Pelodiscus sinensis: one gene and its partners. The protein of the gene in region 1 interacts with the protein of each later gene in a pairwise test. Links are inferred from orthologs where the notes say so. Each region holds a gene or a part of one and is shown in the gene's direction. Other genes may lie near its edges. The genes, in order: ARL6IP1, SNX15 and SHMT2.

Region 1 (3,745 bases):
GTTTGGGTATTGGAGGGACTCTGGGCTGTGGCAGGGGGTTAGGTGTGGGATGGGTGCAGGGTCCCAGCACCACTTGGGACACTAATGACAAATCAGTCATTTTGGAGGCAGGGATGCAGGTCAAAGGCTCAAAACAAAGGGCACGCTGAGCAGAGAACCTCAGACCGTGCCCACTGCTCCTCAGAACTGCCTAGGAGCCAGCAGACTCTGTTAAGAGGATCTCTGCCAAGATACGTGCAATCAGGGAGGAGTGGAAATAGGCCCCATAGTTGCAGAGCATGCCCTCGTCCAGCAGCCACCTCCTCGTGTGATAGATGGGGGCCTAGGCCAGAGCCAGGCCCAAGGAGGTTGGGGTGTGTATAAACAGAGATGCAGGGACAAGGGCAGCCAGACGCTCAGCAGGAGGTTCTGGGGGAGCTGGAACAGGCGCTGCAAGCTGGCGCTCTCGAGGCAGGCGTGTACCAAGGTCTCTGCTGCGGCAAGGTCAGGAATGGGGGTGAACCACACAAGGTACACGCCTGCGTGAGGCTCTGGGAAGGAGCCGCCAACCCGTGTCCCCCAGGGGCCCTGGGATCAGCAGGGTAGCAGCTGACCGGATGTTTAATGGCCCAGGCTGCCATGCCTGGATGGAAAACCTGTCAGCTGTGAATGGGGGAGCCCATAGCTGTGGGCGCTGATGGTGTCATTCCCGCACCCACCGCTGGGAAACGGAGGCAGCTCTGAGAGCTTCTCATCGCCCCCCAAAGGAGAAAGCCCCGCCCCCATTTTCCCTTCTGCAAAAGCTGTACGCTGACGTCACAGGCCCAGCGACCAGTTAACGGCTCTCGGCTGAATCTGATTGGCCGTTGCCTGTGTTCAAACAACAACGGCAGCAGGCTCCCGTAGCCGTTGGGCGAGGAGGGGGCTCTGCGATTGGCCTGACCCAGCCCTTAATTCGGCCAATCAAATTGGCGGGCACCGCGTTGCGGTGGGACCAGCAGTTTCCCCCGCCCCTTCCAGAAGCCGAGTCTATAAGGCTGCGGGCAGGCGGCCGGGCGGCTGCTGCGCTGTGTGAGGGCTGCGGCGAAGGGCTGGGCGCAGCACACGACTAGACGCAGTCGCCGCAGCTGCAGCGTACAAAATGGCTGAGGGAGACAACAGGAGCGCCAACCAGCTGGTGAGCGGGTGTTGCGGGCGGGCGGCCAGCCGGTGGCGGGGACGTGAGCGTCTGCGGCCCTGTGCGCCAGCATCTAATCGCCGGGGAGGGACCGAGGGAGTCACTGCGGCTGCGTCTCCTTCTCCCCACCCCCATTACCTACACGCGTCTTTAGCGCGCCCAGCCAGCCGGGCGCTGCGAGCACCGAAAATTGACCCCCTCCAGCCTCCCGTAGCGAAGGGGTCCCGTAGCCAATCCTGCCCCTTTCGCCCGCTTCCGGGAGGCGGGGCCTGCCCTGTGGGCCTGTGGCAGGGAGACATCTGCCCCCGGCACACTGGGTCAGGAGGGGTTGGGCAGCCGCAGGCCGGGTGGGCCCCCTGTCGGCCCCCACTGCCGCAGTCCCTCGTGGCACCATTGGTCGCTGCACCCGAAGGGCTTCGCCCTCTGACACGCTTGTGGGGTTGGCCACTGCCCGCTAAGAAAGGGGGCTGGGGTTAGCTCGGCTTCCAAACAAACGCCACACGAGGCTTGGGTCATTTGTGCGTGGCCCAGCCCTGGATGCAGTTGTAAAATCAGACCGCTATTTGCGTAATCTGTACTGGGTTGTTTTCTGCTCTTGTCATCTCTCAGCGAGAGCCTAGCGGCCTTTTCTTCGGCCTCTTCCTGTTTCAGCGGATTTCGGTGCGAGGAGCTTTTTGTGAAGTAGACAGCAGAAGGTGCTAGGTAGTTGGTTAGGACAGAAATAAGGGATGGATTTTATATCTATATCTATGGAAGAAGTGAAGACTTGATGGGTGGTGGTACCAGAACAGGGAAAGGATGGATATACTTCCATTCTGTTGAAATTTTAAACCAAACTGAGAAGTAGTTTGGAAATATATTTTCTACCTGTATTTTAAGACTCTTCAATTTACGCTATTTTAAAAATTCCAAATGAACAGCCAATAAATTGAAGGAAGGAAATTATTTCCTTAAAATATAGGAAGAAATAGTGAGACTCACTAGATGTACGTGCTGCCAAATGTCCAAACTAAAATAAAAACCTGGAAAAACCATTTGAATTCACTTCTTAAAAGAGAGCTGAAACAGTAGTCAGATTGAGTGTAACTTCAGTGTACATTCTCATTGCCGAGGTATTCTCTAGTCTTGAAGGCTGGTGGCTTAACCATGAGTCCTGCCACCCTCAGCTGCAGGCCAATATGATTCTTAGCCAGCAGATAGAACAGAAGGTTTATTACTTGACAGGGATACATCTTAGACTAGGGATGTGAAAGTGTAACCGTGTACATGATTACACACAGGCTTCTGGAACATGCAGAGAGCTGATACAGAGGCAGCAGTGAAGGGATGGGGTGGGGAAAGCAGGCTCCTTGCACACACTGACTCCCAGGGATCCAACTGCCACCTCACGTGTAACTGCTGAAAATGTCAGCGGTTAGTTACTTATATGCATTTTAACATCCCTAGGACAGACTTGTCAGCACCTAAACCAGAAGCAGTCAGCACAATCCAGTTGGGGACAGGAGGCTCAGAGCCAAGGCCCCTGTACCCTCAAACCACTGAGACTAACCCATCCACTCGGAAGCCCACCCCCACCCTGCAGTTAGCCCCGCCTTGGCCTTTGTCCAGCTTCCTGGCAAAAGGTGTCACCAGGTTACACCCCCAGCCCTTCGTAGGCTTAGGTTACAGAAAGCATCAGTCATTGTGTGCAAGAAAGAGATACGGAAATTCTCATCACTATCTCTTTTTAGGTATTGGAGCAGTGCCCAGGGAAACTGACACACACACACTAGGGATGTAAGCCACTAATCAAGTCACGCAGCAAAGGTGGGGAGCAGGAGCTGGTGCTGCAAGGAGATAGTTTAAAAGCTGGCTCCCTCCAGCAACATCTCGGGGGGGGGGGGGGGCAGGGCAGGAGAGGCAGAGGCGCAGCGGGGGACCGGGTGCAAGCCAGGACTCAGCTATCCCTGCTTGTACTTGGTCCCATATGCTGGGCCTTTGCCTCTTAAATGTATCAAGAGCCTAGTGGAAATTCCATCGACTACTCAGTTTAGCGGATTAAACGCAATTTAACATCCTTAACACATACACGGTTTATTGTAGGATAGTAGAAATCACATGCGACATAACAGTGGATACAGTTACCACTTTGTCACAGTGTTTAACCCATTTATTATTGTTTATAGAAGAGCAGAGGGTTTTCAAATGCTGTTATAAGGGACCTTATTTAAAGTGATATCCCAAAATCTCTTTTAAAAAATGCTTCATGTACATTTCAGAAAATGCATGGGAAGCAAAATGTGCATGCTGGTTTTGAGCTCTAATAGTGAATAAGACTTTCTAATAATCATACTGGTATGATAAGTTTTGTTTAGTTGTATGCAGTGACAGTGTAGTTAAGTACTGTATGCTGGCACATAGCTCACTGATTTTTATTTATTTTTTTACTAAGCCTAGCTTTCAGCTGCACAATTTGAGTTGCTGAGATCTTATCAGTGAAAGAGACACATGCTTTGGTCTGCTGCAATACGTGCAGCTATGGGGATTGATGAGATAAAAGGGCCAGAGACAAATCATCTCTTCCCCCCCACACCCCCCTGAGTATGAGCT
Region 2 (3,745 bases), on another chromosome or scaffold:
CACAGTCTCCCCATTCTCTATTTTTCTCCGTTGTCATATAGCCTCTTGTGACCCCTTGCAGACATCTGATTTGTCTTGTTACCCCAAGTTTAAACTCACTTAAACTACTTACTTACAAAATCTTACTAGATATTTTAGTAATGTCTATCCGTTTGTTCAAGACCTCCTCCTGAACAGTAAGCGCTAGAACCACCAGATTTGGTATGCAGCTTCCTCTTATCATAACTTAAAGCAAGGTCAGGGTTGGGTTGAGCCAGGATAATGGGGTGTGCATGGATTTGATTTTCTCATAAAATGGAAAGGGTGGGGTTTGGCAGGAGGGAGTTATAATGCAAAATGACTACGGGGGACGGGGGGCAGAGGTGGAGACTAGGAGAGCTATAACTGCATTGGGCCAGCAGATAGCAAGGATGGAGAAAGGGTCACCTTTTATATATTTTAGTGTTTGTCTGTTCCCCAGCTGGGAGATATGCACACCACCACACCATGGCTGTGCCCACTACAGCTGCAGCAGCCATGGACAGGTGCATCTCACCTGGCCCCAAACCGCTACGGTAAGAGTGGTCTGGGGTTGTCTACTCTCCTCAGGGCAGCCTGCATACTGAATTCCTCATCCCCAGCCCCACCCCAGAACAATGATTTAAAAGAAGAAAAACAAAACTTATTTGAGTTAAGGACCCAAGCAACGCTGAGTAAATCTTTTATCAGGCATAAAATACAGAAATGTCCCAGCATTTGCATTTATTACTGAAAAACTTCTTGCTTTTCATTTTTACCATATAATCATAAAATAAATCCACTGGACTATAAATACTGTACTTGCATTTCAGTGTGAAGCATACAGAGCAGCATAAACAAGCTTTATGACATTTTAGCTTGTACTGACTTAGCTAGTGTTTTTCCTGCTGCCTCTTGTAAAAGTTGTCAGATATTCAGATGAGTTGATGTATTCGCTGTAAGTCCTGTGTGTATCCCAGGGGTATGCATAACACTGGTTGACTTGACTGATTGAGAGCCACAGTTGTAACCTGCTCCCTTTACCTCACCTCCGCCCAATTACCCTTTGGCCCTCCAGTCTTCCTCCCTGTACACCTGGGCTTGACTCCTTGCTTACCCTGCCTCTAAGAAGGGCTCACTCTCCAGAGGAGCCCTTCACTCTTCAGCTCGCCTGCAGTTTTGTACTTTACACACGCTCCCTGGGCTGGGACAGGGCAAGGAGGCCCGGCCACGCATGCGTACTGGCTGTTCGGCAAACCCACGCTCCCTGGCGGCGGTCACTGCTGCTTGGGGCTGTTAGGGGCTGGAGAGGGGCGGGCTCAAGATTTAAAGGGGCCGCAGCCTCAGTGTGCGGAGGGAGATGGCCTGCAGGGTGAAGGATGAGTACCAGCGTTATTACACGGTCACGGAGCCGAGGAGCCACCCCAAGGGCCACACTGAGTACAAAGTGACAGCCAAGGTGAGGGGCAGCGCCTGGGACCTTCCCCAGGGAGCTGTGCGCGGCCCCTTTAAGGTGAAGGGCCCCTCCTGGGCAGCTGGGGCTGCCGATGCCCCATGGAAGGAGGGCGCCTCGCTCGCCCACCTTAAGGAGGGCGCACGGCGCGTGCAGGCGGGGTGGGACTTGTTCCCGATACTTTCCAGGGTGAGGGACACTGCGTAGCCGCTTTAAGAGGTGGGAAGTTGCGAGTGGTCCCCTCCGAGGCTCCGTTTTGGGGCGTCGTAGGTGTGGCCCTTTTAAGACGGAAGCGTCCTGCAGGGGGAGCCCTGGGTCCCGGGAAACCCACGTGGGACGGTGCCGAGGCACGTGGATGTCCCAGGTCAAAGGCACGTCCCGTTAAATGCCCCCCACGCCCGTGGCTGGCCCCGGTGGGTGTCCTGCCTCCCCATCCCACGCGCTGTGGACATCACATTTCCCGCCTCCTAGCCTGATAGCCCCATGCCCTGCTGGTCCCTTCCTTTGCCCTGAACCTCCCCACTGCCACCTCCCGGCTCAGAAGTTGCTGACTCCTCCTCTCTTCCCTCCTTAGTTTGTTTCAAAGACGAAACCAGAAGATGTCAAGGAGGTGACTGTTTTAAACCCGTCTGATGGCTCGTGCAGGGGAGGGGTGCGAAGAAGGGGTGGGATGAAATCCATAGCCATCCCTCAGTGTAGAGTGTGGGGGGGGGGGGTCCCCACTACCGGCTAGCCCACACTCACAGCTGCCCAGCAGTGATGGGAAAAGTCCCATAACTTGAGGTCTGATAGAGCTGAGTTTTGGGGACAGTTTTGGGGCTTTGAGTCCTATGGCAAAGGTTGTGGGGGCAGGGATCGTGTGACTGAAATCTGGGGGTGAAATTCCAGGGGCTTTGGAAGGCAGAAATCCAGGAGTTTGAAGTAGAAGTTCTATCTGGAAGGAGCTGGGTCCATAGATTTGGATTTGGAGGTTTGAGCTGAAGGGTTGCAGTTTGGGGGAAAAGCGGAGGGTCCCTGGGACTGTAGAAGCTGTGGGCTCAGCGCATGTCTGTGGCTAGTTAACTGGGGCACCTGGGGGGCTCTTGTCCTTCAGATCACAATCTGGAAACGTTACAGTGACTTCAAGAAGCTGCATGGAGACTTGTCCTACATCCACCGCAATCTCTTCCGGCGCATGGAGGAGTTCCCTGCCTTCCCCAAAGCCCAGGTCTTCGGTAAGTGGCTTCCCGAGAGGTGGGGGCTCAACAGCCAGACTCTTCTGGTTACTCCCAGAGCAGGAGCAGTGGCAGAGAGCGCTTCCCTCATTCCTCCCCCATGGTCAGCTCCCTCGTCCCCACAGTACAGCCCCCCTACCGCATAGCCTTTTCTGCTTCACAGTGCTCCACAGCATCCCATAATGTCTACCCACACATCCAGCGCCTTCTGCACAGTCCCCTTCTTCCCTTTCCCCAACAGCTCCCTTTCATGCCCCCAGCACCCTGCAACTTCCCATAGGTCCCCACACAGACTCAGCACTCTCTTACTGCCCCTACCACATACCCAGATGCCATCCCCTCCCCCTGACCCAGACACAGCAGTCTGAGTCCCCAACCCACCCCCAGAGACTGCTGGTGTGGGGCAGTTAGACCCACCCTTCAAGACGCTTCACACCCAGGTCACCAAATGAGCTGCAGATGGGAATGAGTCTAATTTATTGGGATCTCGGACTGGATCAGAGCTGGGAAAGGTCCCATATCTCATTTCCTGCCACCTGGAACCAATCCCCTGCCCTGGGGACAGATTAGAGCTGATGTCCCCACAGGGGAAAGGCAGTCATTGCTGGACATGCTGCAGGGGGCTCACACCAGATTCACAGGACAAGGGATGCATAGTGGATCATACCACATGAAGTGAATTGTGGTGGGATGTCCAGGCTTAAGGGTGGCAGAACTGAAATGTACCATAGGGCTAGAGGGGGAGTGGCTGGTCTGCCTGGAGAGGCTAGATGGGTGCTGCATCACAGTGCAACAGGAGCTCTGTCCCGCAGGCCGCTTTGAGCCCGAGGTGATCGAGGAGCGCAGGAAAGCAGCTGAGGCCATGCTGAGATTCACGGTGCACATCCCTGCACTGAACAACAGCCCCCAACTCAAGGAGTTCTTCAGGGTATGTGAGTAGGGCTGGGCTGGGTGGGCTGAGAGGGCCCTAGGTGCTCTGGGGCCACTGCTGATGCATCAGGCTGCTCACACACATGGTAGCATCATCAGGCCCACTCAGTTGCTCTACATACCCCTTGAAAAGCTTGGGCTGAGGAGATCC
Region 3 (3,745 bases), on another chromosome or scaffold:
TTCCCAGCCACAGTCTCCACGCTGCAGCCACTGGCCGGGGTCCCAGCTCAACTCACTACCCAGGGGCACCGAGTCCTGCCCCTCTGCGTGCGACCCTTGAAAAACCCAGCAAGTGTCCCACTTGGCACAGTGGGGGAGTGGAGTCCAGTGGTTAGAGCAGCGAACCAGCCAACAGATTTCCTGGGTTCTAGTCCCCGATCTGCTCTGGAGGGCCGGGTGCATTTTTTAAGGGGGAATCGTCTTGGCTTGGACCTTGGGCACTAGGGTGCTGGATTTGGTGGGGGTGGAGGGCAGCATTCTCTGTCTCTTGTGTCTAAATAAGCTACACACCCTTTAACAGAGACCGGCCTTTCCCCGGCCTACCCACCTTTGCACCTCGACGTGCTTTGTACATATCACAACATCCTGTGATCAGCCCGCCCCCCGCCCACCGCTGAAATGCAGCCACCTCTGGAGTGGGCTGTGACAGCTGGTTAATAACCACCCAGCAGAGCTGCACAGAGATCCTTCACCCAGCCCTGAAAGGCAGCCACCTCTGGGGATGGGCGCTGTAGCTGGTTAGCAGTCTCACCGCAGTGGGATGGGTCACCCAGTTGGAGAATGCAGCTCCCTCTGGGGTGGAGCCCAGCAGTGGTTTAACGCCACACAGCAATGCTCTAGGAAGATTTTGAGGCAGAGGAACAGCACGCCGAGCGGACAACACGGAGCAACAGAAAGCAGCCTCCTTGCTGAACGTGTTCTCAGCTCTGTCATAGCTGCAAGCAGTCAGGGTGGCATTGTCTGCTCACTAGGGCACGCTGCCTCACTGAGCCCTGTGGACTAGGGGTGCCATGGGCTGCCCGCAGCATTTCTGCCCAACCTCTGCCAACACCCAGCAGCACCGCTGCAGGTTCTGCACCCCCTTTGCTGCCAGAGCCCTGCTGCCGTGGCTAGTGGATCCCACCAGCTCCCTATGAGCTGCCAGGTATCCAAGTGGAAGAGCGGTGTGTGTCGGAGTCTGCATGGAGGGGGGCAGTCCCTTGGATGCTGCATCACTGGAGGCCAGGCTGCGGCGATATCTGGGCCCAGAATCCCTGGGCTTGCCAACCTCTGGTCCTGGTTCAGACCTCCCTTCTAAGGGTAGGGCCTGTCTCTCACTGTGTCTCTGTGCACAGCAGCCCCTGTCCTCCCTGTGTGCACTCCCTTCATAACCAATCATCAAAACAACTGGGTGCAGGCGTGAGTGTTAATCCACCCCAGAGGTGGCTGCATTTCAGCCCTTGGTGAGTGACCCCCCGCCCAGGCTGTTAATCTGCTGCTGTGCTCATCCCCAGAGGTGGCTGCATTTCAGCCCTTGGTGAGTGACCCCCCCAGGCTGTTAATCTGCTGCTGTGCTCATCCCCAGAGGTGGCTGGAAGCCTCACTGGTGAGCAAGTCAGGCTGGAAGGCAAAGCCCCGGCCTGCGCCCTGTTCCCGTCAGTCACGCTGCGGCGGGTTTCCCGTTGTTTGCAAACATGCATATCAACTTATTAACCACTTTGCATAAACTATCAGGGGGGCGGAGCTCAGCCGCCGGGCCTAGGGAACTACATCCCCCAGCGTGCACCGGGAGTGGCGTCGGCGTCACGTGTTTCTTTCCCAGCGCGCGCGGGCCCCTTCTCCAGGCGAGCAGCGCCGGGGATCAGCTGTACCTGCCACCTGCAGCATGTTCCCGCGATGGGGCCGCCTGGCCGGGGTGAGCTCGTGCTGGGGAAGCGGGGGGATCCTGCTTGGGGGGGGGTGACTTTTGTTTTGCAAAGTAGCTTTACTGCCCCCCCAGGCCCACATGCGCCCCCCCATTTCAAACCACGTGCCCTGGTCGGGTCCCATACAAAGCCCCCTGCAAATAAGGGGGTGCTCCCCACTCTCTCTGCCCGCAGAGTCCTGGCCTTGGGGTTCATGGCCTTGTGCGTCCCGATGCTCTGTGGGAATCGCTGGTTCCTGGAGGGGGTCGGGGGGAGCTCACTGATAAGTGGGTCCCCTACTTGGCTCTCCTGCACGGTGTGTGCGTGCACCCGGCACTGCCAGCTGTGTGCATGGGGGGCAGCGCTCTGCCCGCCAGGACCCTGCTCCCCCAGACTGCCCTGCTGGCTTGCCTGGCTCTCAGACCTATGCCCCCTGCGGCCCGTTATCCCTCCTGGGCGCCGCACCAGTGTGTGCTTGGCACGAGTCCCGCTGGTCTCTGTCCCATCCCTCACCCTTCGATCTGAGTCAACAGCCCAGGGACCTCTGGCCTCCCCCGCCTAGGATGGGGGGAGGAGAACGAGAGAGACTAGGGGGGAAAGTGATGGGTTCCCCCCTCCCCCGACCCTTGCCAGAAGCTTAGTTCTACGGAGTTGGTACCAGCTCCCTGGTCCCGCAGAGGCAGAAGCTGCCCCCCCCCCCCCCTTTCCTGGCTTAAAACTTTCAGAAGTTTCTTTCACTGTGGCTTATTGTTTGGAGAAACTTGGCACATGGCTGGACTTTCACTGCTGCTGATGCAAGGATGGGTCCTCCTTGCATCATGGGTAGCCTGGCCGGGAGGCCTGGCTTTTGTGGCACAAGGGATGCAGCTGCGTTCAGAGCGGGCCGGGCAGCCCCACACCTGTCTGGGAACCAGGAGCAATCAGACAGCGACAGGGGAAGGGCGCCACGCAGGGCGTATTGCGTGGAATGTAAACTACTACAAAGTAAAGAGAGGTGGCTTGTTTTTAAGATTGGGCAGGGTAAGGAGCCGGCTTGGCTCATGTGAACGCAGGGGACTAAACGGAATATTTTTCTTTAGCCTAGTGAAGTTTGGAAGCTGGCTTACGTCAGTGTTCACTCGCAGGCCGGTACCCGAGAGCTGGGAACTCTGACACGCCATTGCTTTCGAATCTGGGCCCCAAACGTGGCTTTCCCCAAACTCTGGTCTCCTGCCACGCTGGGCCCAGGCAGCAAACGAGATTTTGGAAACCAGAGCTTGTCTTTCCAGCATGGGGACTACCCCGGCAGCAAACCGCTCCCTGGTGGGGTCTGTCCCGTTGGGGCTCAGAGAGACGTCCTCTTTTCCTTGGCTGCGTGGTCTGCCACGGCCGTGGGCTGTGTTGTGCGGGCGTCTGGGTTCCAGCCCCAGGACCCCGTACAAACACAGAGTGGAAACTCTGGCAGAGCTGATCCACTTGGCCGTAGCGGAGATACACACAAGGAGGGAGTGAGCTAGAGTCCCCCAAACAAGGGAGCGGAGAGGGTAGGGTTTGCACAGTGCCGGGTGAGTGGCAGAGTGGCACGGACATGTCTCTGCATGCCACGGCCATGCACGGCTCGGTGTGCTCTCCAGGGCACCTCTGTCTACACACCTCCCCACCCCACCCCAGTTCCATGGGGATCAACGCCCCAGCACAGGCCTCTTCTGTCCCCAGAGAGCTCCTGGCTGGCCCCTTGCAGTAGGAGTCTGAGGATCTGCTGCTGGGGTGTGCACCAGCAGCGAGGGGTGCTGTCTCCCAGCACCGTTTCAGGGGGAGTTTAGACACGTGCCCAGGGGAAAAGGGGGGCGGGGGAGCAAGCCCAGGGTGCAAACCAGCCTGGTGTGTCAATGAGGAGACGGCTGCACTGTGGAGGGGTGCTCGGGGGGCAGTGTGTGGTGGGGAGAGGACCCTGGATGGAAGCTGGGGGGGTAGAAGTCTGTCTCCTGGCACTTAGTGATCCCTGACACGTGTGTGAAACATGGCAGGAAGTGGGTGTGTGAGGGAGGATGGATTCTAGCCCC

Evidence for each region.
Region 2: the proteins of ARL6IP1 (region 1) and SNX15 interact in binary tests that used the Homo sapiens proteins (3 or more experiments, as listed by UniProt). The two-hybrid records come from large-scale screens. The link is inferred for Pelodiscus sinensis from reciprocal best matches to the Homo sapiens genes ARL6IP1 and SNX15.
Region 3: the proteins of ARL6IP1 (region 1) and SHMT2 interact in binary tests that used the Homo sapiens proteins (3 or more experiments, as listed by UniProt). The two-hybrid records come from large-scale screens. The link is inferred for Pelodiscus sinensis from reciprocal best matches to the Homo sapiens genes ARL6IP1 and SHMT2.

What each region holds. Positions count from the first base shown.
Region 1 is NC_134726.1:20,312,689-20,316,433, reverse strand, and holds the start of ARL6IP1 (ADP-ribosylation factor-like protein 6-interacting protein 1), read left to right. Parts: upstream 1-967; 5' UTR 968-1,120; coding exon 1,121-1,156; intron 1,157-3,745. UniProt on the Homo sapiens protein: Positively regulates SLC1A1/EAAC1-mediated glutamate transport by increasing its affinity for glutamate in a PKC activity-dependent manner.
Region 2 is NC_134721.1:34,790,271-34,794,015, reverse strand, and holds the start of SNX15 (sorting nexin-15), read left to right. Parts: upstream 1-1,276; 5' UTR 1,277-1,357; coding exon 1,358-1,456; intron 1,457-1,548; exon of another isoform or gene 1,549-1,669; intron 1,670-2,024; coding exon 2,025-2,060; intron 2,061-2,543; coding exon 2,544-2,664; intron 2,665-3,476; coding exon 3,477-3,592; intron 3,593-3,745. UniProt on the Homo sapiens protein: May be involved in several stages of intracellular trafficking. Overexpression of SNX15 disrupts the normal trafficking of proteins from the plasma membrane to recycling endosomes or the TGN.
Region 3 is NC_134729.1:3,133,766-3,137,510, reverse strand, and holds the start of SHMT2 (serine hydroxymethyltransferase, mitochondrial), read left to right. Parts: upstream 1-1,566; 5' UTR 1,567-1,684; coding exon 1,685-1,714; intron 1,715-3,745. UniProt on the Homo sapiens protein: Catalyzes the cleavage of serine to glycine accompanied with the production of 5,10-methylenetetrahydrofolate, an essential intermediate for purine biosynthesis.